Linked DNA regions of Medicago truncatula. The protein of the gene in region 4 binds, or shares a complex with, the protein of the main gene of each other region. Links are inferred from orthologs where the notes say so. Each region holds a gene or a part of one and is shown on either strand. Other genes may lie near its edges. The genes, in order: 50S ribosomal protein L31, chloroplastic; 50S ribosomal protein L28, chloroplastic; 50S ribosomal protein L21, chloroplastic; 50S ribosomal protein L27, chloroplastic.

Region 1 (6,213 bases), on a different chromosome or scaffold from region 4:
GATGATCACAACCATAGTTAAGGGTTCAAGCATAATAGCTATAACTCCTTTTGCACGCCCTTAACTAGTTTAGCTCCAAGAATTAAGGCATCGTCTAATTCTTAAGATAAAAGTTAGAAACACTCTTTTTTTAACACTCGAGTATAAGTATAACTCATATGGGTTCATCACTTTATGTGGAATTCATTTTCAAAATATGATACCGAGATTGGTTTCATCCAATAAATGAAAAGAATGAGTGTTAGAGATGTCATTATTAGAAAGATAGTGCTCATTGCCCTCCTCAATTCTTAATTGATAAAATTAAAACAAAGGTAAGCTTTGTGGCCGTACTTTCTTTGCAGTAGCAAATGGTACCCAAGTTCAACAAAGTTTCTAATATTTTAGAATCGTACACCACACATCTCAACTAAATAGCCCGATTAGTAAACTAATGGACGCTTCATTAGTTTTAAGCACAAAGTTCAGAGTTTGATCCTTAGAAATTAACTTGGCAACTAGCTTAATAACATTTGCCTGTTAAAAAAGCATACACAACATGCAAGTTCCTTTCGAAATATATCAAAAACCATGTTTCTTTACAATTGAAAGAATCACACATTACAACAACAGCCAACAAATCTCAACCATTGGATGAAAAACAGACACAGCATTAAGAAATCTTCTTTAAAATATAACTTCATCCAATTCAATAGTCGAGATTCATGATTGCGTAAATGCAGACAATAGGGAATCCAAAACCATATTTGTTTCTCATATAAGTGTATGTTTGGATTCACAACGAGTTCCGAAGCTCCAAAATGTAGTTTTGGTTATCCAAAATCACATTGGCTCACAGTGATTATACCAATCTCGCAACAATCCAAACATGAATTACTAACAAAAACAACATCAAATAAATAATCATTCAAAATACAAAACAAAAACTCATAGAAACATTTTAACAAACACCATACAATCAAATTACAATTCCAACACAAATAACTCACTTCTTCTTCCCTCCACCACTTTTAATCCCTTTACGTCTAGAAGGAATAACAATCTCACCTTTAAGCACAGGAATCTCCATAATCTGTGACAATTCACCGAACTTCTTACGAAACTTCTCCACCTGATCATCACTCACCATAAGAGCAGACCTGTTACCTAGGTAAAATGGATGGTTCCCAGACCAAACATCAACCACATACTCTTTCTGGGTTCCACCAGTTGTCATCACAAGCTCGTTATTACAGTAAACCTTAGCATCTTCATGGAATTTTGGGTGTATGTCTTTCTTCTTACAATACACTCCGAAATTGCCCACTTTTTTTCCTTTTTGATTCTGCAACTACAAAAAAAAACATGTTGGTTAGTTTAATACAGAAACAATAATTGGAAATTTTAAGGAAGTGGTTGGTTACTACGTTTTTTGTGGGAAGTGGAAGGAATGGTTTTCCTTGAACAAAGGTATTGGTAATGCACTGCGCCATTTTTTTGCAGATGAGATTAGATATGAGAATTTGAGATTGTGTGGTGTGGACATATGTTCTTGTTCTTGTTTGTAGTTCAAAATGGGCTTTTTCTTTCATTTCATGAGGCCCAATAAGCCCATTAGGAAATCATGATGGAGTGTTGTTGTTCTTACATCCATTGTTTCTTAGAGACATTAGTAAATGACCAAAAAACTCAGCGGTAGTTAACTACTACCGATTTTCTATTTTGAAGTCAGCGCTAGTTAACTACCACTGTTTTTTTTTTTTTTTTGTCATTTCTATGTGTTTCTAAAAAACAATGGATGTGAGAACTGCAACTTTAATCATAATGTATGGTATGTGTGAGACCACATATATGTATATATACATTTATTGCATAATTATAAATTATGATTACATGCATGTTTCATATCATGGGACACCGTGGCTTTTTCAGAATCACGATGAGTTATCGTCATTTTGCAAGTTAAATATAGCATGTTTGAGTACATGTGTGAATTTGACTTACATTTAATAAGATAGAAAGTAAAGAGTTTGATAGATGTGTTTTGTTAATGTGATTTTCATTTATTTTTTCTAAATAGATAGACACAAAGTGTATATTTTAAAAATTACCGTAGTCATAGTAAAAAAAATTACAGTAGTTAATCATGACCATGACAAATCCAATGTGGTACCACGCATGCACAACAAAGTTTTTTATTTTTTTTTTATTAAATCTCATTTTGGTTTCTCCATTTTGCCTTCTTTGCGATTTTGGTACTCCTATTTTTATATCGCCAATTTTCTCTTTGATGATGTGATAAATGAGATGCTTATCTGACAACTCAGTTGATGACACGATCTAATAAAATTGGAGGTCTAACTCATCCTTAAAAATTGATTCTTAAGGTGAGAATTGTCTCCTCTATATAAACTTTTACCAAGAGTCTTATATATCTTATGTGGGACATGGATTTTTTTTCCCAATACACCCCTGTCACGCCCAACACTCTTTGGGTTTGGTGCGTGAATCGGTAGGTGGCCCTTGAATTCGACAGGCTCTGATACCATAATGAAATTGGAGGCCTAACTCATCCTTAAAAACCGGTTCGTATACACCCCGTCATTAATCCATATCACAAAAGAAACAGTTTTGATGTAAAACAATGTCTAGGTGAGTTCTCACTTAATAGTTCATTTCCATAAAATCAAGTTAGATATCATATAAGCATCCCATATTTCGCCATCAAAGTTCAACCACAAAATACATTTGTCGAGAAAAATATGTAGTATTAAAAAGAAGAGTGATATATGAACATCCAAAAATAAGTGGACAACAACCTAGGCCGTATAATAATATGTTGTCGTAACAACAACCTAGGTTGTTAGAATATCATTTCTGCAATAGAGAAATGATATTTGAACATCTATTTAATGACAACTTTTGTGACAACTTTATCTCTCATACTCACATTATTTTTACTTTATCTCTCTATTGTTTTCTCACTATTTTTACTTTATCCTCCTGAATTTTGGATTGGAAAACCATTTTACATCGTACCCTTGAAAAAGGTAATGAATGTACAATCAAACATGTCAATATGGATAGATGAATGATATTTATATAAACTATTTTTTGATCATTTTTGTGATAATTTTCTTTCAAATATTTATATTATATTTTTACTTTTTCTTTCTATTGTTTTGATATTGTTGGTTATCCATTATGATTTACTAACACATAAAAGCCTTAATCTATATATAATAAACTCAAGGTTTACTCTCCTAAAAAAAAAAATCAAAGTTTATTTGAATGAGTCAAATTTGTGAATTCATGTATTTGAAAACATAAACAACAATCCAATCCAAATCACTTTAAATTTGAGTGGGTTGAATTGAGTTGAATCCAAACTCAAATGAATTCAAATAAATTACCTGATAAACTTGTATGGATCATCGGATTGAAGGGACCCACAAATGACCTAGAACACCCCTGCACTTTTTTTCTTCTAATTCCTCCTCCAGCAAAGATAAAAAAATTGGAAAGGATAATATAAATGAAAATTAACGTTTACATTGATGTAATTTTTATTTTCGAAATTTATGTAGTGGTATGTCCTCTTGTCCAATCCACATATTGTTTCTTTCCCCCAATATATAGATAGTACAATAATTATTTTTTAAGGAAGATGTAAAATGGTATTATCCGAGTACTCACTCTTCAAAAACCTTAAATAATATACTTTTTCTAATAAAAAATTGTATATTCAACACATTAAAAAATGTACTATTTAATTTTTTAAAAATTATTTTTAAATATGAAATCTTAAACCGTCATTTTAACTATATTTCTCTAGCTGAATAGTAATTTTTAAGTAACCTATCCCATTTACTTTGAGATAGGACGGTCGACATTAACTGACGTGTCTTAAATTTAATATGGGAAATCTAAATCCCCATGACATTGCATTTTAATCCAATTTGATTTGATAGGCAATGCCAAGAAAAAAAGACCAACGTGATAGGTAGTGACTTAAATTTATACGAAGCAAATCCATCTAAAATTAGTGTGGGAACAGTACTCCTTTTTTAGTCTTTTATGGTCGTTTGTTACTCAAAACATTGTGAGGTGTATGTGATGATACCACGTGACAACAACCATTGTGATTTTGAAGAAAAACACGAACATCACAAAAATATGTGCTAACTTTAGAAATCCTTGTTTGTTTGTTTGTAAACCTATCAGCTGTCATCGTCGCCACATTGTAAGTGTCACTGTCGTTATATTTAAATCTTCCTTACTACTGTGCATTCCTTTCTCTAACTAAAATTCCAACATTGTAAGTTGTAACCACCAACTTCAAATGCAGCACATAGCCCACCATTCAAACTTCTCAAGTTTCAACTAGTTAAATTTTAAGGATTAAGGCTTCCTAATAATAATAAATCAAGTATTTATATCGACACAAAAAACAACTAATTATTCATTCCGGACACATTTATAAGCAAAAATTATTTTTAAGTTTGGTGAATACTAAATGTATTGTGTGACTAGAGGAAGTATATGTTGATGCGACTAATTTTAGAGACAAGAACACATTCGGTGTCGACATCTTTGTTTTCGGACAACAAGAGAAATTGTGTACGAGCACAAACTATTTAGAATTTTAGCCAACCAAATTCTCAAGAGGCGCAAGCATGTGGGTTGAACACAAGCGTTGTTTTGGCTTATGAATTTGGGTTATACTCGAGTGTATAAAATTAGGTTGCAAGCTAGTTATAGACGGCATAAACGATAAAGCATGTCAAAATTTAGCATGCTCGTAAAACTATTATGCAATCTTTTCCAAACGTTATGATAAGTTTTATTAGAAGGAAAATCAACAATGTAACTCATTTACTAGCTCGAGCGACAATATCATATGCAAGTCGTCAAACGTGTGCGAGATTATCTACTGGATTATATTCTATCTACATCTATCGAATGAATTAGTGACAAATCAGCTGTTGCTGGATTTCTCAACAACAACAAAAATCAGCTATTACCGGCGGTTATTAGTCTTCTTCATTAACCACCAAACAATAAAACCATTTGGTAGGTTACGTGCTCAACAACAACAAAAAACCAGTTTGTAATAAAATAAAATAAAACAATAAAGAAACAAAACCATTTGGTGGGTAACGTGCTCAACGTAAAGGTCGTTAGTAGAAGGTTAGGAAGGTTTATTCTCCCGAAAATGGAAAATCTATTCAAACTGACTGAAAGAAATTACAAACTTATACGTATTATACTACTTGTTTAGATTAATATTTACTCTTTTTCGTTCCAGTTTAAATGTAAGACTTTTAACTCTTTATCATTTAGATTAAATCAATGGACCTATCAAAACCTCACATTCTTTTTATATATTTTTTTTTTTTGAATAATGGACTTTTAACTCTTTATCTTTTATTAAATCAATTGACCTATTATCAAATCCTCAGATTCTTTCTTAGATCTTATGTTTAATATCTTAAACTTTTTTTAGGGATGTTTAATATCTTTAACTTGAGAGGTGACAAATGCATTTTTTGTTGGTGAATTTGGTTTTTTTTAGGGGTTTTCGTTTTTCTATTTTAAATTTTATTATCATAAAACAACTTGCATGTGCATTGTCACCCACTAATGTAACATGGCAGCTCATTCTTTTATTCAACTTGACAAGTCACCTAAAAATACCTCCAGTTCAATGGTGGATTGTATTTACATTTTCAAAATTTTGAAAATTGAGATTATATTTTCAAACTTAGAAACAACCAAATAGTGAATAAAAAAAAATAAGGGACCAAAATAAATTTTAAGTCAGTCAAATTAAATGTAAATAAAATATTCAACCTAATGTCCCTAAAAAAAAATAATTCAACCTAATGTTTTAACTTTTAACCATGTTTCGAACCAAAAAATGTATTAACAAAAATGCATCAAAGCTTACTAAATTTATCAAAAATAAAATAAAAAAAAGCTTTTAATTGAAAGTTTATTTTTTATTTCATTTAATTTATGATTCACAATATATATTTTTGAATCATGATTCACAAAATAACGTAACTAAGAGCACTCACATCCATGTCACCCATATGAGTAGTATAAATGGGTCTCACATAATATTTTATATTACTTTACATTTTCCAATTATTTAAACCACCCAACTACATTTTTCTAAATATCCACACGACTCTCCAAAACTCTAAAATAGGTCTCACTAATCTTACAATA
Region 2 (6,591 bases), on a different chromosome or scaffold from region 4:
ACATTTTCTTGTCATCAATGGAAAATTAACTTTTATAAACTAGATGTGTATTAAATCATTCTCAAGCATGGGTACTCTTAAAAATACGACTTGTAAAAATATGAAGTACACAATACCCGTGTATGGTACTCGTGGTATTTCAATTTTGTTCATTATTTAATTGTGACTTTCTCTTCTATATTGATATGATAATAAAGTAATATATGAATTTTTGTTGTTGTTCTAACCAACACTAATTTTTTTTTTTTATTCTTTTTTAACTTTTATTGTGATGTTTTTGTTGTAAATTGAAGAACTTAATTGTCTCATGTTATATTGTATAACAAAACTCATGATTCTTTTAAAGTACCCATACCTTAAAGTTTTTAGAAATTGTTGTATTCTCGTACCTGTATGCGTATCGTACCAGGTACTGTACCCGTACCGCACCTATGCAACATCGCTAGATTATAATTGAATGCAAAATGTAACATTGAAGGCTGAAATTCCCAGTGCTACGGTCCAGGATAAATGTTTAGGGGATGATCAAAGAGATTTCCATTTGTAAGATTCATGACATAGTAAACTCACAAACTTCATATTTGTTTACATAACTCAAGTTGCTTTTGACCATAGCCAGAATCAACCCCAGTCCCTAAAAATAATACAGAAAGAAAATAAATTCTACAACAAAAATTAATGAACATGGATCCATCCTTTTACTCAATTACAATCATAATCTTGTTCTCTCATTTCTTACTGAGATCAATTCCAGCCTTTTTTGCAACTGCATCAAGTCCATTCTTCTCTATGGTTTTCAACGCCTTAGTTGACAAACGAAGCTTTACAAAGCGCTTCCCAGCTTCCCACCAAACTCGCTTGTACTGGAGGTTTACAAACTGCAATTTCTTTGTCTTATGGTTTGAAAAGGATACTTTGTTGGCCCTGTTTGATTTCTTTCCGGTGAAGGGACACACCCTCTCTGAAAAAATAAAACCAAAGTATACCAAGTTAAATTGATTTACAATAATAATAATAATCAGGATTTGCAGTAGCATCCTTTAGACAATGATGATGTAGTTTGGCATCAAATAGCAATAACCAAATGTGTTTTTTTTGGGTGAACCCATGGTATCTCTAACTAAGAGCCAAAAACTTATTATTTAATGGATTGACATCTCATAACATATGTCCTTCTGTGCAAACAGGTCTTAAACTGAATCACTAACCCCATTTTTAACACTAATCATATAAGGTAACATATGTTATATACAAACAGGTCATGTAATAAACTTCTACCAACATGCTTAAAAAACTCAGTTATAGGTAAATCGTACCGCACCATGTTATGCATGTTCTGTTATTCTCTTATATATAAAAAAGAATTGTTACTATAGGCAAACATAAACTAAGAAGGGTATTTATCTGTCACTCTATCGATGAAAGCTGGAGTAAATATCAGTGCAAAACTTCTCTGTCCGCAATAAAATATGAAAAATATTTATTAACCAACAGCAATATGTTACTTTTTAAATAAATAAAAAGTACACAAACCATAGTTGGTCACTTAAAGGTAGCCATTTCTTCCCTATCCATATTGTTATGAAAATAAAAGGTTTCCAATTTCTATTAATCTGTTCACTTAACACAAGATTCAACAAAGAAAACTCTTCCTTTAATATACCTAAGACTGAAACAAATATCACTTAATCACATTCTACCAAAAAACAAGGAATTATTGCATAAAGACGGTGATTACTGGAACAACTTATCAGAAACTCAATAACATTAAAGTAACTTCAATAAGTGCTTATGATACAAGTATTACTCCCGCAAGAAACAAACTAGTATGTAGCATTCACACTTCAAATTGAAGACGTGTCACGTGTTAGAGTCAACACTGGCACGAAATCGACAAAATTTAAGTACTTCCATTCTTTAAAAATTAGAGCAATGACACGAAATCGACAAAATTAGAGAAATGACATGAGTTAGTGTCAAACACCGGCACAACATCAATAACATTTTATAATTTCCATTTATTAAAACATAAACTAGCAACAGACCCGTGCTCCACACGGTCCGCGTGTCAAAACGCACGCATTTGTTTGTATATCACACAATTAGATTAGGAAAAAATTAATGAAAAATATGACATTACATTAAAAATAAAAAAAGATCAGAAGAATTGTTAAATTTAAAAATGAAAATGTGGGCAGCACACTATACATATACATAGTTCATAACATGGTGAAAATGAGAGTGAATATGAATTATTGGTTTCAATAACTTACTAGCAACAATTGGTTGAAAGGGAGAAGCAACAATTGGTGTGGGCAATTTAAGCGAAGTCTGAGACGAGATTTTGAGACCGCTTAACTGAGAATTCAAGAACCCTAATTCTGAAATCACAAAAATTATATAATTGAACAACACAGATTTAGCAAAAAATAAATAAAAAAATGAAATTGAGATGAAGTTAGTTAAGTTAGTTAGTTACGGGGTGAGAATGAAGAGGGTTTGTGAGTGTTGGTTGATGAAATTGAGCGCATAGAAGCGAAGACGAAGGTGTTTCCAAGTGATACTGCAGAACCCGCCATTGTTCTTTCTTTTCTTTTTTCTTCTTCTTATCCAACCCAATCTTATTTGCCTCTTCTCAAATTATCTACCTTCAAATAATTTGTTTTTTATTAGGAAAATAGATAAATGATCCTTTTTTTTTTTTTTTTTTTACAAGAATCTCTTATTTATAAATGTTAATCCGTCAAATTATCCCATTAACTATATTTATGTAGAAAAAGTTTATTATTGTTGTGATTCCACCATTTTTTTTTTAATGAAAATTCAAATAATATATCTAATCAATATTCAAAGTACAAGATGTGTCACTGTCAAGAGTGAAACCAAATTATTATAGAATAATGCGGGTAATTTGTATAAAAAAGAATAAAGCGGATAATAACAATATTCAACTACCAAATAAAGCAAAATAGTGCAAATTTCATGCCCCAATAACATCAACAATCCAAAAATTAAAATCTCAAACATTTAAAATATCATAATACCTCGAAGTTAAAACTATTTTCCTTTGATATGAACCAATATTGAGATTAATTTTTCAACATAATCGAAAGGTTGAGAAAAATTTACACCAAAATAATATTATTTATCACTTTTTATATAATTCAAATGCAAGATAACTAAATAATTTTTTTTTTCTTTTTTCTTTCTTTCAATAACATCTTCCTTATAAACTTAGGCAACAAAATTGATACGCATAATCCAAAACCACATTAATAAAAGTGTTATGAATATCCAACCAACCAAAATCAACTCTCCACACTAGGAAGTGTAGGACATTTATCGAATAGATAAGATATGTTGTGTAGATTCTTCAAAGGGAGCTTCTACGGTTCAGTCAGGAAATTGATTTTTTTGAAAAAGTTAATTTTGATTTTAATGTTTGATTTCATTTTTAAATTGTTGATTGCTGATTAATAATCAATAGTAATTCATCTAGTAATGCTTGCAACATCTTGGATTTACAGGTACTATTTTATCGTTGGAATCTTTAACATGCATACATAGTTGATGATATTATGTGATAGTTTTAAGTGTTACACTTTGTGGGGTGTTACGCTTATAACAAGGTAGGATAAAATTAGATTAAGTGTAGTCTTGTTAATCTGATGAATTGATGATACTACGATGACTGAACTTTTGATGACATTGTACAAACGGTGGGATGTTACTCATTACATTTTTGATGTTATAGTGTTAATTTCACCAAAAAAGTCATTTTTATAACTTCACCATAGAATTTTCCTTCTTCAAACCCACGTCCCTGCACATATAATCAAATCCAATAGTTCTTGTGAGCTTAACTCAGTTGATATGAACAATGTATAATATATGCAAGGTCCGAGGTTCGAAACCCGGCCACCACAAAAAAAAGACATCTAATAATAAAATTATTTATTTTACACAATTATCTTTAATAAGAAGACGATTAGTTAATAACCACCGTTTAAAGAAAAAGACTTTCATCAATCATTTTGTTTTAAACTAGTCTCTCCGTTTCAAAATACATGTCGCAATTTTACAATGTACACTATTCACATAACTTACTCTGACCAATTTTTTTAAATAATATATAAATACAAATATTAGTATGTAAGATGTTGTTTGATTTGTTTCGATGAATATTTTTTAAAATATTAAAATTTTAATTTTTTTATTATATATAATTAAAGATATTAATTGTCAAAGTTGTGTATTGACATGTGTGCAATGATTGACTGCGACATGTATTTTACGTCGGAGGAAGTATCATATAAGAGGATGATTTTTCACCTCTAAAATTCCACATCGGTATATTGTAAGCTTCTTTAACATAGCATTATCTATTGCCTAATGCTACTTATCTAGACAGATTTCCTCACGAATGATTTACGTACGACCTTGTTTTTACTCATTATTTTTTCCTAAATTATAGCACCATCTTACTTGTTTTGTGGCCAGGCATAGAGGTGATTGGTTAAGTGTTATTCGCTGTACCATCGGGATAATTTTTATCTAGATAAATAGCAGTGCTCTTATTTATTATTGTGAACGGTGTTCCAATTTCATCAGTCATTTGAAGTAACCTTAGAAATTTTCCAACAAAGAAATACATTCCTCCACAAAACAATTCCCTCCGCAAATCCCAAACACCACCATCACCATCAGACCCCAACACCAAACGAAACATATCGGCAACTAAAATTTGATTATATGACATCAAAATAAAAACGAATTCTACTAAATCAATCACAATGCATTGTAATATATAACGGTCAAGATTGGAATCACATACGTCCCATTTATTTATCTTAAAAAGTGAATTCTAATCATTAAACTATTTGACAAAAAAAATCGATCACAATAGAAAACCACCCGTTTGGTAATTTTTTTTAATAAATTCAATAGTGTATAAAAGTGTTCCAAGTTCCAACCACCCCATTGGTAGAAAAACAATCACAAGCTATGTACTCCACTGTTCTTGCAAGCTATGCTCTTGTATGGATAGACTTGGACCTTTATTCATTCTTGAATTGCTCCACAACAGGCTGAGACTGTTTGTCAAAGTAGAAGTTGTGGTCAATGAAGCTTTTAGTATGCTGAGACCCTACACCATGCAATCAAAATATGTTACTAAAATGAAAAGCTATACTAAATGAGGAAGTTTCATTTCATGTACTGCCTTACCTCTTTCCTACCAATTCTGATGACCCTTTCCTCCACATCATTAAAGGCAACCTTCATTCTTTCTAGATAGGAAACAACAGCAATGGATGATAACGGGGTCACTACCATGTCGTCTGTCACGATGAAGGTAATCGGTCCTTTGACATATCCTCCAGAAATAGGGGATTTAGGATCAATAAATTTATATTGTGTATAATAATCCTTATATTTGGTATCTATCGGTAATATTTGGTTCCTGAGTTCAAATTGCATAGGAATCGGCGGTTTAGTTAGTTTCTCTTTGAGATTTTCTGAAATTATGCATCCGTCCGAACTCAACTCAATCATGCTTTTGTATAAATTATCAATGCAGCTTAACAAAGAGAATCCTTGAAGCATATGCAACACTCCTCCTAAGGGGAAGGTTAGAAAACTAAAAACAAAGTCGATAAAATCATCTTGCGCCTCTAGAAACAGAATTTGTTCATTTGATTTTCTCCTCAGTACTTTCACAACCATCTTGTCATTAATTTCATCAGATGATTCATCTACCTCTCGAATCCAAAATTCCGACCGGTTTCTTGGGTCTAAATTACCAACAAACTGTTCCTTTTTATAGATAAAGTCTGTCAAAGGAGTCTTTGAGACCAAAGATAACTTTAGAATATCAATTACCTATTCAAAGCATAGATTAAATAATTAGAGAGGGAGAATAATCAACGGAAAGTACATATACGATGTACATACTTAGAAAACATGCCTCTTTCTTGCTGATATTAACGGTTCGTTTATCAATAGTATCAATGTCATTGACTCCATGCTTCTGACAAAGATTTAAGCTTGTTCCAACTTCATTCGCCAACACACAAAGATCGTCAGAAACGATAAAAGTTGAAGTTTCCTTGACAAAACCGCTTTCTTCAATTCCTTTTAGGGAATTTACGAAACTTTCTTGGTTCAATAATTTTCTACAGATACATTTTTGATTCCTGAAGAAGCTCACACAATACCTATTTTCAATTTTGCAAGTCTTGTCCTCGCAGTGGTAGTACCTCAACGGCTCTGATTCATCGATATTGAATTTGAGTTTCCGGTAATAAAGTCCCATGGGAACCCTTGGTTTCAGTAGCATTTCTTTGCAAGTTTTATTCCACAAATGTTCTTCTCCAAGATCCGATACACTTTCGTACAATGAGCTCAAGCTTCCAAATTTCACTGCGTCGATATTTGACTCCTTAGCCGCAAGTCTTGCAATAGTCCCTAAAGGAAATATTAAGAAGCTGAAAAGAGTATCAACAAAATCCTTCCCTGCCTCTACATATAGAACTTTGTTCCTTTCTCTATCCACCATAAATCTCAAGCTAACTTCGTCAACTTGTTCAACTA
Region 3 (7,937 bases), on a different chromosome or scaffold from region 4:
GCATTTGATCCATTTTGTCGGCGGTTTAGCCCAAGTTCGATCAACAGTCTGCACATAAACATTGAGACGGTGGCACCACATATAATATTGAACCGTATCTAAAGCTAAAACACAAGATGCTTTAGCGTTAACCAATTTTTGTTCCCATAAGCATGTATTATGAGCACACCAAATACTCCATAAAATAGCCATAAATCGTGAACGATCTTCCACATCAAGAGCTGCAAGAATGCTAAATATAATAGATGAAAAACTACCACTTGATGTCATGTGTGGTCTCTATTTTTAAGTAAACTCATATGTAGAATTCATATTATTGAATAAATTTTTGCAAAAAAGTTTAAAATATTATAAGAATCTTTATTAAAAAATATTAGAAATTTTTTAACGAAACATAAATTAAATATGAATTTTAATATTTTTGGTGGTTAAAAATTCATATTTAATTTATGTTTTGTTGAAAAATTTTAACTTATTTTGAAAGAGATTTTTATAATATTCTACACAATTTTATTAAAAAATAAAAATGGTACGACTTTAAAATAAGGACCAAAATTGATAATTGACAATTTTATACGAGTAAATGTCGAAAGAAATTTTTAGAGAAAATAAAATGAAAATTTGATATATTTATAAGGACCATAAACATATGAGTCATGTTAACCAGTGCCCCGGGACACTAGTTAGGAAAACTAAAAAAAGAAAGTTATAAAGTGAAAATAACACATTTTTATGTTTTTGAGGAATTGACAATGCAAATTTCAATGTAATACTTACTACTACCTCCGTCCCTAATTATAAGACCCTTTTGAGAATTTTTTTGGTCCCGTTTTATAAGATTCATTTGCTATTTCCAACTACATTAGTTATTTATTTACATACCTGCCCCTATTTATTATACATCTTTTTCTTCAATCAGCAAAAAATTGCATATGGAAAACATAAACTAACTCTCTTTCTTAAGGATAAAATTGTAAAAACAATAGTGTGCTCGTGATTTTCGGATATCAAACCATTAATTGATTTGAATCGTTAATCTTTGAACTCTCGATTTTTATTCGTGGGAAGGGAAAAAAATGAGTAAAAACCCTTAAGACTTTGGATTCGGGGGTTGGTTACGCGAAGGGAAGGTGCTAGCACCCTAGGCGTCTATGGTATTTCATAGGAACCTCTTACCTAAATTATCTTGTGCTAAATTGATTTGCTTATTTGAAAATTATTACCTAAAAAAATCTAAGTGAAAGAATGGAGGGAGAAGAAGTATATTTTTGGTTATTTTTATTTGATTTTGAAGGATTAACTCCTTTGCCTATATACCCTTAAAGAAAAGGGATCAAAACCAATGTAGTTCACCTAAAAAATTTCTTTTTGGTGGGTTGGATTGATTTTAACAATTTTGTAAAAAAAGATTTTAAGAAGAGATTAGAGGCCTCAAGGCATGAGAGAAAAATAAGATGAGGTTGGTCAAATTTTAATTACAAGAAAATCAAGTCTAATATGAATATTAAGTCAATTAAGCATTTGATTAAGAAAGTAAAAGGAAAAAAACACTTGGGTTACCAACCAAGGTTTATTAAGAAAATATTTCTGAAGTTTTGCATATTTGATTTTTTTAAACTAACGGTGAAAACTAACGTAACGGCGTAACGTAACAAGAAATAAATGTCAAGTGTCGGTGCATGTGTCGGTACATATTCTCATATGGATATTTACAAGGGACCTATATACATGCTAAAGCCTCAAGAGAAAATAAACGACAAAAACAAAAAAAAAAAATAAAGTGCACAAATTAAATTATATCAATTCCTAAATACATACTAAAAATTAATGACAAGAAATTAAAATATGCATGAAATGATTCTAAATAAAATGCAGATATAAAATAAAACCATAAAAAGAGTAAATAACAATTAAAAAAAATCACAATATTTTTTTTGGAAACTTTGAAGAAAATTTTTTAAACAAAAGAGGTGCAAAAAGTGAAAACAGTGGTGACAATAGGAAAACAATAGTGAATTTTAAAAACAGTGGGCTCAGACTGGACAAATCTAGACCGTCTGATTAATCAGAGGATCCAGATCCAATCACAGGAAAGACTCATCACAGTCACTGGATCAAAGATCCAAGGGTTAAAAAACAGCATAAAGTAGAGAAACAACACAAGAAGCACAGTGACTGTCAGATCAAAGATCTGACGGTTTAAACAGCAGGCACACAGTAGACCGCAGACAGACAAACACGGATGGAACACACAGTAGCCATCAGATTTTAGAACGATCCAGATCTGATGGTTCACAGCGCGAGGGATCACCATAGAACATATACGCGCGTGTAGGAAACAGAGGGAGTATATAAAGGGAGAGACAACAAGGAAACAACACAAAAACATTTATCATTCTAAACTTAGAGAGATTCTCTCTCACTTCTCTCTAAAAACTTTTTCTGGAAAACGGAAGGAGGAAGATGAATCTACATCTTCTCCGGCGAGCTTCGCCGCTCCGGCGCAGTGGTTTGCCGGCCCAACAGGGCGGCGCGCAACAACATGTTATAGATCTGTATTTGAAATCTCAAAAAAAAAAAATCATACTTTTTTCAAAAAAAAACGACGGATCTAGACATCCTTTTCTTTCTTGTTACCAATTTCAAATTTAGTTTTCGAAAATGAACAGCAAGCATGTCTAGATCTACATCTTTTATTTTTTTCAAAAAAAAAAAAAAAGAAACGAATGAAGAAAGAGAACGAAAGAGGAGAATCAGTTACCTCTTTGGATCGGTTAAGATCTGGAGATAAAAGTCTTCGGAAAACTTCAAGTGCCTTCTTCTTCTATTCCTTCACGTGAAGCTTACATTAGATCAAGATTCGTTGTGTTGTTGTAATACCAAAATTGTTGTCGTTTTGAAACGATTTGAGAATCGGTGATGTTGTTCTTGCTCGAAAAATGGTACGATCTTGGTGGTTATATGATGATTCGAGTTGGTTGTTGGGGAATCCGGTTCAAATCTATGGATTTTTGTGATTATTTGTGCTTGCTGGAAAAATCTAGGTTCATATGTTCATGATGATGTTCACGATGAACTTCATGATTTTTTGCAGTTTGATCTGGAAAAGAGAAGAAAGAGAAATTTTTGGTGTTTATAATTAATGCTGCTGAAATCTCTGACGCGTTTGACATTGTGCAGACTTTTTATTGTAAAAAACTAGGGTTTGAGACTGATACATACCAATGACGAAAATGCCCTCTACTGAAACTTGGGCAAAAAGAAACCCTCAGGACCAATAAGAACAGGACACATGGACTTAGACTTAAAGAAATAAAACTAATAAAATAAAAGCAAAATAAAATAAAAAGAAGAAGAAGAAAGTCACTCGTGACTCTTCTTTTTGGAAGGTTAACAAAATAAAAAAATAAAAAGAAATAATAATAAAATTGATAAAATAAAAAGATAAAAATAAAAATAAAAAACTGTTCCTTCGAAACTAAATATGGTACTTTAAAGTAACCTCCCTACCGAAATTTTGATCGAGACGACTAGAAAATACGGACCAACTTTTAGATGTTTATCGTACAAGCGGAAAAAGAAATTTAACTAAAACGGAAAAGGGGAAATTCATTTATATGCGAATACGCGCAAAAAGATTTTAATTACATACCGGTACGGATAAAACTTTAAATGCCTAAAAAACGAACAAAGTGGTTTTTAAACGTACAAAATGCGAACAAAACTTTTAACTACTCAAAAATACGAATAAGAGATTTTCACTACTTAAATCGTGACTAAAAAGGTTTTGACCACTGAAAATTACAAATTAATAACGATGAGCATATTTAACTGATTGAAAAAACGAATGAAAAATATTTTAACCAACCAAAATACGAATAACAACGTTAACTACTTAAAATATGAATAGAAATATTTTGATGAGCTAAGAATATGAATAGAAAGTTTACCTGACTAAAATACGAATGAAAACAAATTGACTATTTTAAAAAGCGGAAAAAATTAATTGGTAAAACTTTAGGGTATGACAAATAGTAATTACAAACAACATTAATACAAATACACACTTTCTTAATTCCCGTAGTTTTAGCAAAAGAGTCTTATTATATATAGGGACAAACGTAGTACATTTGATATCTTAACCAGTGCGCCCCGGGACACCGGTTAACATTTTTCCAAACATATTTAATCCAAATATATACTCCCTCCGTCCCGCATTAGATGACTCATTTGCAGATGTGTAATTTTGACCTAACTTATTTTGACCATATTTTTCTATTAATATACAAAGATAAATAATATCATATAAGATGTCGTTAGATTTGCCTCGATGAGTATTTTCAAAATATCAAATTTTTATAATTTTTTCTAATATATTATTCAAGATATTTAAACTCAAAATTATGCATTGATATGCGTAATAAGGTCAACTGTGTCAAGTATTAAGGGATACAAGGAGTATTTTGTATTATACTCTTCTTGTCTCATGTTAAGTGACACAGTTGACCTTGTCACACATACCAATACATAATTTTAATTTTAAATAACTTCACTAATCTTTTAGAAAAAATTATAAAAATTTGATATTTTAAAAATATTCATTAAGACGAATTCAATGATATCATATATATATATATATATATATATATATATATATATATATATATATATATATATATTCGGGGAGTGGTTATGGTGCATAAGGAAATCCTTATGCACCGTGCATAAATCCCAACATAATTGTTTCCTACACCCCCAAAGTGAGCCAAAACCATTTTTGTTCAAAATAAAAGAAATCTGATAGTTGTGATGTGTTTATGCACGGTGCATAAGGAAATAACTTATGCACCATAACTTTTGCCATATATTCGTACAAAAATACGGAGTTCAATAATACCCATCTTCAAATGGGTGTCATCGTAGGACGGAAGGAGTAATAAAAATGAATAAAATAATAATAAAATTGGGTTTGTAAGAGTAAATAAATGGATAGGATGAAGGAAGAACATAAAAGGATAGAGTTGAGAGAGAGAGAGAGGAAGTTCTCTCTTCTTCAAAATGGCTTCTGCAACTGCTTCTACACTTTCAACTCTCTGTTCTTCTTTCACAACCCATTGCTCAATAAAACCTCATTTCTCTATTTCTCATCAACCTTTCTCTTCTCGTTTTCCTTCTCACAACCTCTCTTTCCAATCCACTTTCTCACAACGCTTGCCTCTGTTACCCGCTCCCAAATCCACTGAATCTTCTGTCGCGCCTGTTGATTCTGATTCTCAAGTATCGGAGTCTGAATCCTCTCAAATTGTTCAGTCTCCTTCATGGGAGAAGGGTCTTTTTGCTGTTGTAATGGTGAGTTTTTAGAGGATTTTTTTTAATGTTGAGTGTGGATTGGGTGACCCTTTTGTTTCAATTGTTCAAAAGTTGCATGCTTTATGTATAATTTTTAATCTAGATTGCTCTATGGGTGAAGGCGACGCAATTGAGTTTGCATATTTTTGGCTCTATGACCATGGTTTTATCTATTTTATATGTTTAGTCATTCATCTGAAATTATTTGTGATTGAAGTATCGCACATTAAAGATTAGGAATGGTTAGTAAAGGACCCCTGGAGTTTGGCCGAATAGTAAGTCAAGTCTGGCCAATGATTGTTCCAACCTATATTTTTGAACTTGGGTTCTCCCGAATGATTCGTCCTTAATTGAATTTATTAATCATCTAAGCTCAATAAATTAGTTAATAAAAAAGTTAGTTTGGATGTTTAAACTGTTTTTTGTATTGTTGGACTACTTCCAGTTTGTTGGGTTGGTAAATAGGTATTTGCTGTTTATTGTTTTGGGGTCTCTGTCTCAAATTTTATGTTCTGTTCTTTTGCTTTTTAATATTTTCTTGTGTTGTTTTGTTTAGATTGGTGGGCGCCAATATATTGTTCATCCTGGCCGCTGGCTTGTTGTTCAGAGGCTCAAAGGTGCCAACGTTAACGACAAGGTATACAACTTGTTTGTTCTTAAATTCTGCCATTTGACATGTTCCACTTATTCATTTTTGGTCTTTTAGTTATGCAGTATTCGTTAAACTCATTATTTTGTTCTATATGTGATTGTTAACATCACCAACCTTTGTTAACATCACCAACCTATTATCACCATTTGCTTTGCACCCTAAACATTGCCTCTAAAATTGCTACCATTTATTAAGTAATGTTAGCTTGCTCATACAATATATTTAAAACTATGGTCGGCCTAGGTATGATGCGAGTGCTTCCTGCTCCCTTTCTGGTTTCGTGAAATTGACTATCATTAATGACCTGAACTATGGGTAGGACCTATAAATATAATATAAAAGGGTTCAATGCAAAAGTAAGTTATAAGAAACTAGGCCTAAAGAGGTATTTTAACCATATGATGTGAGAAATGAATGATTGAAATTATAACCATTGGTTTTCAAACCAATGATTATAATTTGTCACTTTTCCCTTTGAAGCGATTTCTTCCTTTTCCATTATCTGAACATCTGCTGTTATTTTCAAAGCGTTTTTTTATGCACTGTACATTAATTTTAACTCTTGGAATTGTAGATCGCCCTGCATAAGGTTTTACTGGTTGGAACAGATACATCCTGCTACATTGGCAAACCAGTGGTAACAAATGCTGTGGTATATGCGACAGTGGAAGAGCAGGTACTCTTCATTCTCTCTGCTTTTGTTCTCCTGTTAGGAAAAGCTAAAAGTAAAATACATCTCCTACCTTAACCATTTTGTTTTAATGCAGGGTTTAGACAACAAAGTAATTGTATTCAAATACAAAAGAAAGAAGAAGTATCGTAGAACTATTGGACACAGACAGGTATATTAGCTATCCTTTTACTTTGCAATCCAATTATTTATCAAAACTTTGCGCGATTGAAATGTCTATATGTGGCTTGGGAATTAATTCTTATGAGCGAATTATCTTACCCTTAAACTTTCTGAATGGAGCTTAGAAATATGGGAATCCATGTTGTATATATGATGAATGTATGCCTGTAGGCACATGAGGCTTCCATGTCATTTTTTATGAATATTTAGTTTACCAGAATTTGATGCTTGATTTGGTTTTCAACTTGTGACAGCCAAATACACGCATCCGGATAAATAGCATTATGGGCTATGAGGACTACCCAAAAGTTACCATGGACGATATAAATTTGGAATCATCATGAACATTTTGTGCGCTATGCGAGTATTGTATCTTCTTTCATCTATAATAACTATTAGCAATCAATTTGCCATGGTTAGTTTTGCTTTTATCATGGATGGAGTTGTTTGAATGTTTATGTAGCTATTGTATGTCATTGTAATCTTTTGTTTCCAAATACATTGCTATTTTCCAGTCTCCAATTATCACTCCAATTCCTACTATGAAGAGCCTGTTTACTTTGAATGTTACTTTTTCAGTTCTCTTTACCTTGCATAGAAAGATTTGTTGGAACAAATTTAATTTGAAAATGTTAATCATTTTTTATTGGTCCCTTTCATCTAATCGGAGGAGCAAGCATATCATATATTTTGAAGTATTTTGTTTTTTAAGTACACAAGCAAATTATAGTCACTCCTTGGACCGGATACCCGAGTTTCCAAAAAAAGAAGAGTACAAGCAATTACGTTTTCATCTTTAATTCTAAAATACGTTGAGATATTGAATTTACTTAAATCTAAGGTTAAGTATATTTTTATCTACTAAATGTTCACTGTCGTGAACATTTTTATTTAACATCTGATGTAGGAGAAATTCTTGTATAGTCACAAACCCAAATTGAAGTTATTTAGGCACACACTCATAAAATACATATCATTTAATTATTTTAAAAATACATATTATTTAATTATTTTCTCTTTCATACTTTTTAAATTCATGTGAGTGTGTCTAGATGAGTTTTATTTATGTTTGTGTCTAAGCAA
Region 4 (7,830 bases):
GGGAAACTAAACATCAACTTAGGTAGCTTGTAAAGGTGAAATGTGAGTTACATCATGTAAACAAAGCAAAAGACCATTTCATTTACTCAAAAAGAAAATTACACACCCAAACAAATTGATAGTGAATGGCTATACTGTCTTGTAATTGGTTTGGGGACACTAGGGAACAGTTTTGGCCGTGTACGGTACAATTTTGCTGCCAGAAAACAAATACAATATTACAATGCTAAAGGTTTCCCAGATACACAAAAGAAAAACAACTGAAGACAGCTAGATTTTACACAGTGAAGTGAATGAAGTATAGAATCAACAATCTGGATTCTCTATTGCGGTATCATCAACGGAAGCGAGCATTAGCTGTGGTTGAAAAGCTCTTCTTTCTTTAGCAGCCTTTTTGCGTTCACGCCTCATCTTGAAGTACTTTATCTTCCTTAATCTATAGCTATCGGGGTTCGGAACCCGTTCTTCTTGTGGGTAAACACTGATCTGTAATATTTTTACAACTTTATTAGCTAGTTAATTTGTACTGTAGGATTACAGGTCATATACAGAAAGCAGTGAAAGACTATTTTTTACCTTTTTCTTGTCTGGTCCATATTTCTCAAATTTTACAACTCCATCAATTAGGGAGAAAATGGTATGGTCCTTACCAATCCCTACATTCTTTCCTGCGTGAAACTTCAAGTTTTGCAAAGAAAAAAATATTAGAACTTAGAGAAACAGTAAGTTTCATGATAGGACATTCACATTACAACATCATTAGATGCATTTAGCCAAGTCTATCGGAAAAAAAAAATACTTTGGTTGTTATTGTCAGAAAAACAGCAAGGCAATAAAGATTCAACAATATCTTAAAAACTGCTACAACAAATGCACCTATTTACTATATTGTGTGTGCCTGTAACAACCTTATCATGATTTACTATATTCTGTGTGCCTATAACCACAAATACAAACTCAATGTGAAGGTTTTTCAACTCTCAGCAACCGCATCGCAACAGCAAAAAGTAGCTACATTGACCGTGTTTTTTCATGTTTTTTTCCATAATATCCAGGATCACCACTAACCGTGATTGCGATTTAAAAAATTGACCACATTATTTCCATAATAGCATTTATTACAATCAGTATAGAACAAACATGAGAAGTTCTTTCAGTCAGTATAAAGTGTGCAATAAAAGTTGTGGAATCGCTTACAACTTTACCATACTGATAAAAAACAATCGTATCAATGGTGATATTGTCAATTACACAATGCAACTCAATTATTCAAAAGACCTTAATCATTCTTAGTTCCCTTCATATGGAATTCTAGGCTCTAGCATATAAATTGCAAAAGTAGACATGTTTTACCTGTTCTGATTGACCTAAACATCTAAGGAAACACTTATTAAAAAGAGACAATATCTAAGAATTTTTAAAATAACAAGTTCTTATAGAAGATGAATTCTGTCATTTAACTTGACTTAAAAAACCCATAACAAAGAAAAAGGGTTTTTCAGTGACTAACCACAACAAAAAAAAACCCATAACTAGAGAGAACAATAAAAACTCACTATTTTTGCAACTCTCACTCTTATAATTGCATCTTGAAATTAATGATATAAATCGGCAAAATAGTATAATTGCCAACTCACTCTCTTTGGATGTCCGTCCAAATGTCAGCGTAGGACTTAAAAAACGAGTGGTGTCAAAGCGTACTTACGAGTAAGCTATGAAGAACGAACTCTGACACTGACACCTCACGGACACATTGACAATGCTAATTTTAAAAATATAGGACAAACACTGATACATACATATTTATTTATTTATAATTATTAAATAAGATATGAGCATTATTTATTAAAGATCTAAATCGAGAACTAAAATATATATGTACGTCTAAATTGAGCCATTTGGTACAAAGTTATTAAACAAAATATAACAAATTTTCACCTCATCCATCCATTCATCTACTATACAGAAAAGTTAAAAAAAAAATGATATCTTCAACCCCTTCATTTATCATCACTACTTCAACACAATTTTAAGCCTCATAGAAGTTTACGAGGAGTGTCGAAGGAGTGTAAAAGTGTGTTGAAGCAAATAATTTTTTTGGGGGACACATGTCGTGTGTCGGACACAGAGACCTTAATGACAGAGGTGTCTGTGCTTCATAGTCTCATATATCAGACTCAAATGATTAATTAAAACAAAAATGTGACATTTCGTAATTGATAATTTGGATATCAAAGCAGAGCAAGGCAGTGTCTGGTTTTTTTTTTTTTTTTTTGGTAGATAGACGAAATGGCAAAGCCATTATAAACTCACACACACAAGTGGAGGTACCGGGGTTCGAACCCCGGTCATGGTATCAGCCTAACAATTTCGGCATTTGTCAGATGAGCTAGGACTTCTGGATGGCAGTGTCTGGTTTTAAACATGCCAATTACACCAATCTATAATCCTTTCTTTAATTCTTTCTATAAGCTCTAATTGAACACAAACTACACCAATTTCATTTTTTTCAATTCACCCAAAATATAATTCTTAACGACAATTAACATGTTCATAATTTCATAAATTCATATGACACGTCATTTTTTTTTTGTCTAAAATTTGAAAATGGAATAGAGAAACTGATTATGAACACACCTTGGTTCCACGCTGACGAACAATGATGGAACCAGGTTTAGCGACCTGGTCACCATAAACCTTAACACCGAGACGCTTTCCGGCCGAGTCACGGCCATTCTTGGTACTTCCTGCTCCCTTCTTATGAGCATTCCGGATAATCAGTGCTGACCGATGATGAATTCGAGGGAGAGATACTGATGGAGTCATACGAAGAGTGGTGGAACCTGATAAAAAGGAAGATGAAGATGAAGAAGAGGGAGAAGAGAGAGAAAGTGATTTGAATGCTGTTGCTATGTTGAAACCCATGCATACAGCCATGGTGGAAACTGCTGGGTTGTCTGAAGAAGTGAGAGATAAGACTCAAGAAGGGATGAATGAAATGAAAATGAAGGTGGATAAGGGGAAATTTGGAATTTAATTGATTTTTTTTAATATTTTTGTATATTAATTTTTTTTTCTGCCATTCAAAAAAAAACATTATTATTTTTTTTCTGCAGCACATTGATAACACATCACATCTTCTATAGATACATTTGAGAATGTTTAAAATGAACGATACATATGACATCTCAAGATCAAATTTAAAAGAAAATTTACATGTGGCAATGTAAGGTTGAATTATAAAAGTCATAGTTCAATTACACAATTTAAGACAATTTTTTTTAATGACACCATTTATAACATACTAAAGTAACAAAGTATAATCAACACATAAGAATCAACCACTGTCCACCAACGATGCAAGAAGCAACCACGATGGATAAAATATTTTAGGTATGATGAACGATACTACCGTCAACACAGAGCATCTACGCACCTAGCCCTTTCGAGGAACCTTAAGATAAAACCAGTCATGTTGAATCGAGATATGCATCCATCAAAGAAGCCAGAACTAAAGAACCCATATCTTCAATCCAAAAAACCAGATTCGAGATTTTTAGACAAAATCACAGAGCCGAAACAAAGTCACCACCCATCTTCATTTCCACGAAACAAAACGAAAACAAACGCCAATAAACAAAAATGAAAAAAAAATAGCCAAAAACAGACTGAGACTAACTCATAATCGCGTCAACACCATAGCTCTACAAGACGTCGACGATGTTGAACGAAACCAGTGACCACAATAGAATCAACACACACCAAGACTCTAAAAGGACAGCCGCTGCGGCGCTTCATCGACGACAAACTAAAACCCATAAATATATTTTTCATTTATACACAAAAACACGGGATATATATTTACCACTGATAAACATAAAAACATGTGACACATATTTGTCATCATTGTGGCTAAAAAAATATTAACATATTATTTTTAACAAAACAATATTGACATATTTCAAAATTCACGGTGCATAGATGCTTTTCATCAATAAAAAAATAAAAAAATTGAGATTGAAAAATAATAGTTTATCACTCGTGCATTGCACAGGTTAACACACTAGTTATACACACACACCATTGAGTTTGTTTTTTTGTTGATAAAATGCACACGATTGAGTTGGAATTCCAGATTTCACACTCATTTACATTTTTTTTGTGGTGGCGAACCCAAACCTTATATATATTATGCATTGTCTATATCAATTGAGCTAAGCTCATGACAACATTAAATGTGAATTTATAATAACTAGATTATTTGATAAAAAATAATTGATTTTTATTTTAATTTTGCAAAAATTAATTGAATATGGGCTGTAAGAATACACTTGGTCTAGTATTTTGAGTAAAGAAATTATTGTGATTATCACTAAATTTAACATTCTATTTCTTAAAAATGACATCCATCGTTTATTTTCATAAATGGAGAGGATCCTTACTCATTTATTGATGAGCTTGTATTTAACCCGTTGGTTGACCAAATTAAAACTAGATTGTTAGGGTGGACGAATAAAAACTTGTCTTTTCGAGGACGTATCATTCTAATGAAACCTATCATGCCTTCTCTTCCGATCTATTTTTCTTCGTTCTTCAAGGCTCTCACATGTATAATGACCTCTATACATTCTATTTTAAAATGTTTTTTTCTCTTCGGAGGGGGCAGATTCTAGAAAGATTCCATGGGTCAGTTGGGAGTCTGTTTGTTTAGGTAAAAAAAAAATGGTGGCTTGGGGATTAGGAGGATGAAGGAATTCAATTTAACATTGTTAGATAAATGGTGTTGGAGGATGCATGTAGATAGCGGAGGGTTGTGGTACGAAGTCCTAGCAACCCGTTATGGTGAATTTTTGGGGGTAACTTTTGGAGGGGGGAGGGATAGTTCTGTGTGGTGGAGGGATCTACGAAAGATTTGTGAAGGGATTAAGATGGGAGTCGGAATTTGGTTCAATGATAACCTGAGGAGGGTAGTCGGTGATGGGGTTAATACCTTCTTTTTGGTTGGACACGTTGTAACACCCCGTTTTTCCAACATATAAATAATATAAAATAAATCAGAGTTCATCGCAAACAGAATGTCACATTTCGTTCTTCAAAATATCATTTAACACAAATAGAGTTAAATTCACTATTTATTTAAACAACTGCTTTCAATAATTCAAAATAATGTCGCAGCGGAAATATTTAATCTTTAAGCATTACTTGGCACTGAGGCCTCAACATCAACAACATATATAAAATTCACCTAAAAGTGGTAAAACATCAAATTATAAGAAGATACGTAACAATGGTAAATAAAACACATAAGAATTCCCATCCCGTTACGTATCAGAGCATGACTCCTATGACGACACAAGAATTCAACTCACATCAGCTGTTACTCCTGAATATCTGCACGTTACCCATATAGAGGTAACATTCAAACAGAAGGGGTGAGATTTCACACTCGATAATAATTAGCAATAATTCATTTAAAATAATTTAACAACACAAAACATCAGCAATTCATCATTAACAATGCTTCACATAAGTCCAACTACAAATCATCAATTAACTTCGCTCAACAGTGCAACGACATGACTCATAAAATGCAATGCAATGCAATTATGCATGTGGTACCAACAGAGCTACAACTCCCTTCGCTAATGCCGTGATTCGGCTTTGATAGGCTACAACCCCCTTTCGCTTAATAAATCACCAATACAGGCCATCGTGGTGCCAATCCAGGCCATCGTAATTAAAATGAAATGATTATGCAATGACACAATTAAAATGCAACAACAACAACATCAACTTCGCATCACAATTTCACAATTAATCAACATTATTCTTCGCAAATAAACAATAATTTCATTCAAACACTTATAATTACGAAACTCAAGCATGCATACCTTAATTGAACCCCTTAATACTCAAGTTTGAAGTTTAGAAACCAAACCATAAGTATTGGAATGACTTGGAAATAGTTATGCTAAATTTCTTTAAAATTTCCCCAAGACCTACTTGAAGTGTTTTCATCATAACTCAAAATCCACAAAACATTTTCAAGTCAAACTAACGCCATTGGAAAGATAACATAATTATCTAAAACCTTCATGTTTACACCAAAGCCAATTCAAATCAGAAAAAGGGTGAAAAAGCACAAAAACTCAAAATACGAAGTCCTGACAGCACGCAAACGAAGGCACAATAAAGCAGTCACCCATGAGGGCTGTCTTGCTGCGCCCAGGCGCTGGCGAGCTGCACCCAGGCCTGGTCAGGCAGTAGCTAGTGACATGCGCTGCAGCTCTGTACAATCCTGGTTTTTTCCCGGTTTTACCATTTCACACGTAAAAACTCAACCGTTAACCCGATTCCAATTCCGTTTTCGCCTACGCGTTCTATTCAATAAATCCTATCATATTTTACTGAAAAATCATATTTTCAAATCTCCAAAACAGCTTATCCCAGAATCATTTATTTCCCAAAAACACTTAAAATCACTTTTATTCAAAATCTCAATTTTTGACCCCATTCGATCCAAATTTGATAGGAAACATTACCTAGGGTTACTCTACAACCTAAACAACAACTTTCAAATTAATTCATTGGATTACTTACACTTTCAAGAATCAAATTGTAATTCAAAACCCTAATTTCTTTAACATCACAATTATCAACAACATCAAAGTTAGCCCCTTTTTCAGAATTATAGAACTCATATTAAAGAAGGTTAGTCCCACCCTTACCTTAGATTGGATGAACTTTGAATTCTTTAAGCTTTCCCTTGCCCTCTCACAATGCTCTTCTCTTCTCTGACTTCTCACTTTCACGTTTCCTCCAAAAACTGTTTTACGTGTCTGACTCTTCTTTTCCTAACCTCTCCTTTTTCTTAACCTAACACATTCCCTCTTATTCCAATTTTGCCCTTACTGCCTCATTATTCTATTTAATTTTATTCCTTCACTAATATTACTATAATAAGCTACTAATATTCACCAACATATAACACAAAACATCACACATCGTAATTATTCACATAAATTATTCAAAATGACACTAAACTCGATAAAATAACTAAATAATAAATTAGGGCATTGCACACGTGGGTGTGGGCGACCCCTTAGCATGAGATTTAGTTGGTTATCTGAGTTGTCTGATAACTTGTTGACGACAATCGCATATATCTATTAGTTGGGTTGGGGTGAGGGGGGGAAGTTTGAAAGTGGAGGCGGAAGTTGTTTGCATGGGAGGAAGATGTGGGTAATATAATCCACTTTAGTCTCTTAAAAAAATTAATTTCAATTCATTACAAGACGAAAAATTACAAACACAAGTATAGTTTGCTTCTTGTCAAGATCTTTTAATTTTGGGTTAAAAATAGGGGTGTTCAAAACCGAACCAACCCAATAGAAAAACCGCAAATCAAACCAATCCAAACCAAAACAGCAAAAAACCACACTTGGTTCGGATGAATTCGGATGACTTTTGCACTGAACCGCGAGGTTTGGTTCGGTTTGCGGTTTGCATCTCAGCTACCGAACCAAACCAAACCAAACCGCAAGAATAATGAATGTTACTTAAACATGTACTAGCCCAATTACATAGCCCAAGAATAATCTCTTTTGATTCGATTTTTCCATTGTTGCACCATCAGGTTCAATTCTAATTCCTTTCCATCTCTTTTAATTCATTTCCAGTGATGAATTTGTTTCCTTTTCTTCCCAATAATTTGTTTCATGCTTATATTTCTTCTTAATTTTACCTATTTTGATATAAGTTTTACCTAATATTTTATCATATAAACAACAAAATAAAATGCCCTATGTTTATTTTGTAATAAGTTGGCAA

What was found.
Region 1: 50S ribosomal protein L27, chloroplastic (region 4) and 50S ribosomal protein L31, chloroplastic share a complex: the UniProt entries of both Arabidopsis thaliana proteins name them as parts of the 50S ribosomal subunit. The link is inferred for Medicago truncatula from reciprocal best matches to the Arabidopsis thaliana genes RPL27 and emb2184.
Region 2: 50S ribosomal protein L27, chloroplastic (region 4) and 50S ribosomal protein L28, chloroplastic share a complex: the UniProt entries of both Arabidopsis thaliana proteins name them as parts of the 50S ribosomal subunit. The link is inferred for Medicago truncatula from reciprocal best matches to the Arabidopsis thaliana genes RPL27 and PRPL28.
Region 3: 50S ribosomal protein L27, chloroplastic (region 4) and 50S ribosomal protein L21, chloroplastic share a complex: the UniProt entries of both Arabidopsis thaliana proteins name them as parts of the 50S ribosomal subunit. The link is inferred for Medicago truncatula from reciprocal best matches to the Arabidopsis thaliana genes RPL27 and RPL21C.

What each region holds. Positions count from the first base shown.
Region 1 is NC_053042.1:7,238,594-7,244,806, reverse strand, and holds 50S ribosomal protein L31, chloroplastic, read right to left. Parts: upstream 1,560-6,213; 5' UTR 1,473-1,559; coding exon 1,407-1,472; intron 1,331-1,406; coding exon 986-1,330; 3' UTR 520-985; downstream 1-519. UniProt on the Arabidopsis thaliana protein: Binds the 23S rRNA.
Region 2 is NC_053042.1:15,739,776-15,746,366, reverse strand, and holds 50S ribosomal protein L28, chloroplastic, read right to left. Parts: upstream 2,641-6,591; 5' UTR 2,580-2,640; coding exon 2,480-2,579; intron 2,382-2,479; coding exon 2,274-2,381; intron 962-2,273; coding exon 729-961; 3' UTR 517-728; downstream 1-516. Other genes in the region: uncharacterized protein, read right to left, coding at 5,003-5,146, 5,227-5,880, 5,966-6,173, 6,258-6,591.
Region 3 is NC_053042.1:47,104,915-47,112,851, reverse strand, and holds 50S ribosomal protein L21, chloroplastic, read left to right. Parts: upstream 1-4,994; 5' UTR 4,995-5,058; coding exon 5,059-5,349; intron 5,350-5,905; coding exon 5,906-5,986; intron 5,987-6,575; coding exon 6,576-6,677; intron 6,678-6,768; coding exon 6,769-6,843; intron 6,844-7,108; coding exon 7,109-7,198; 3' UTR 7,199-7,419; downstream 7,420-7,937. UniProt on the Arabidopsis thaliana protein: This protein binds to 23S ribosomal RNA in the presence of protein L20.
Region 4 is NC_053044.1:6,288,312-6,296,141, forward strand, and holds the start of 50S ribosomal protein L27, chloroplastic, read right to left. Parts: upstream 3,018-7,830; 5' UTR 2,938-3,017; coding exon 2,638-2,937; intron 679-2,637; coding exon 577-678; intron 487-576; coding exon 307-486; 3' UTR 1-306.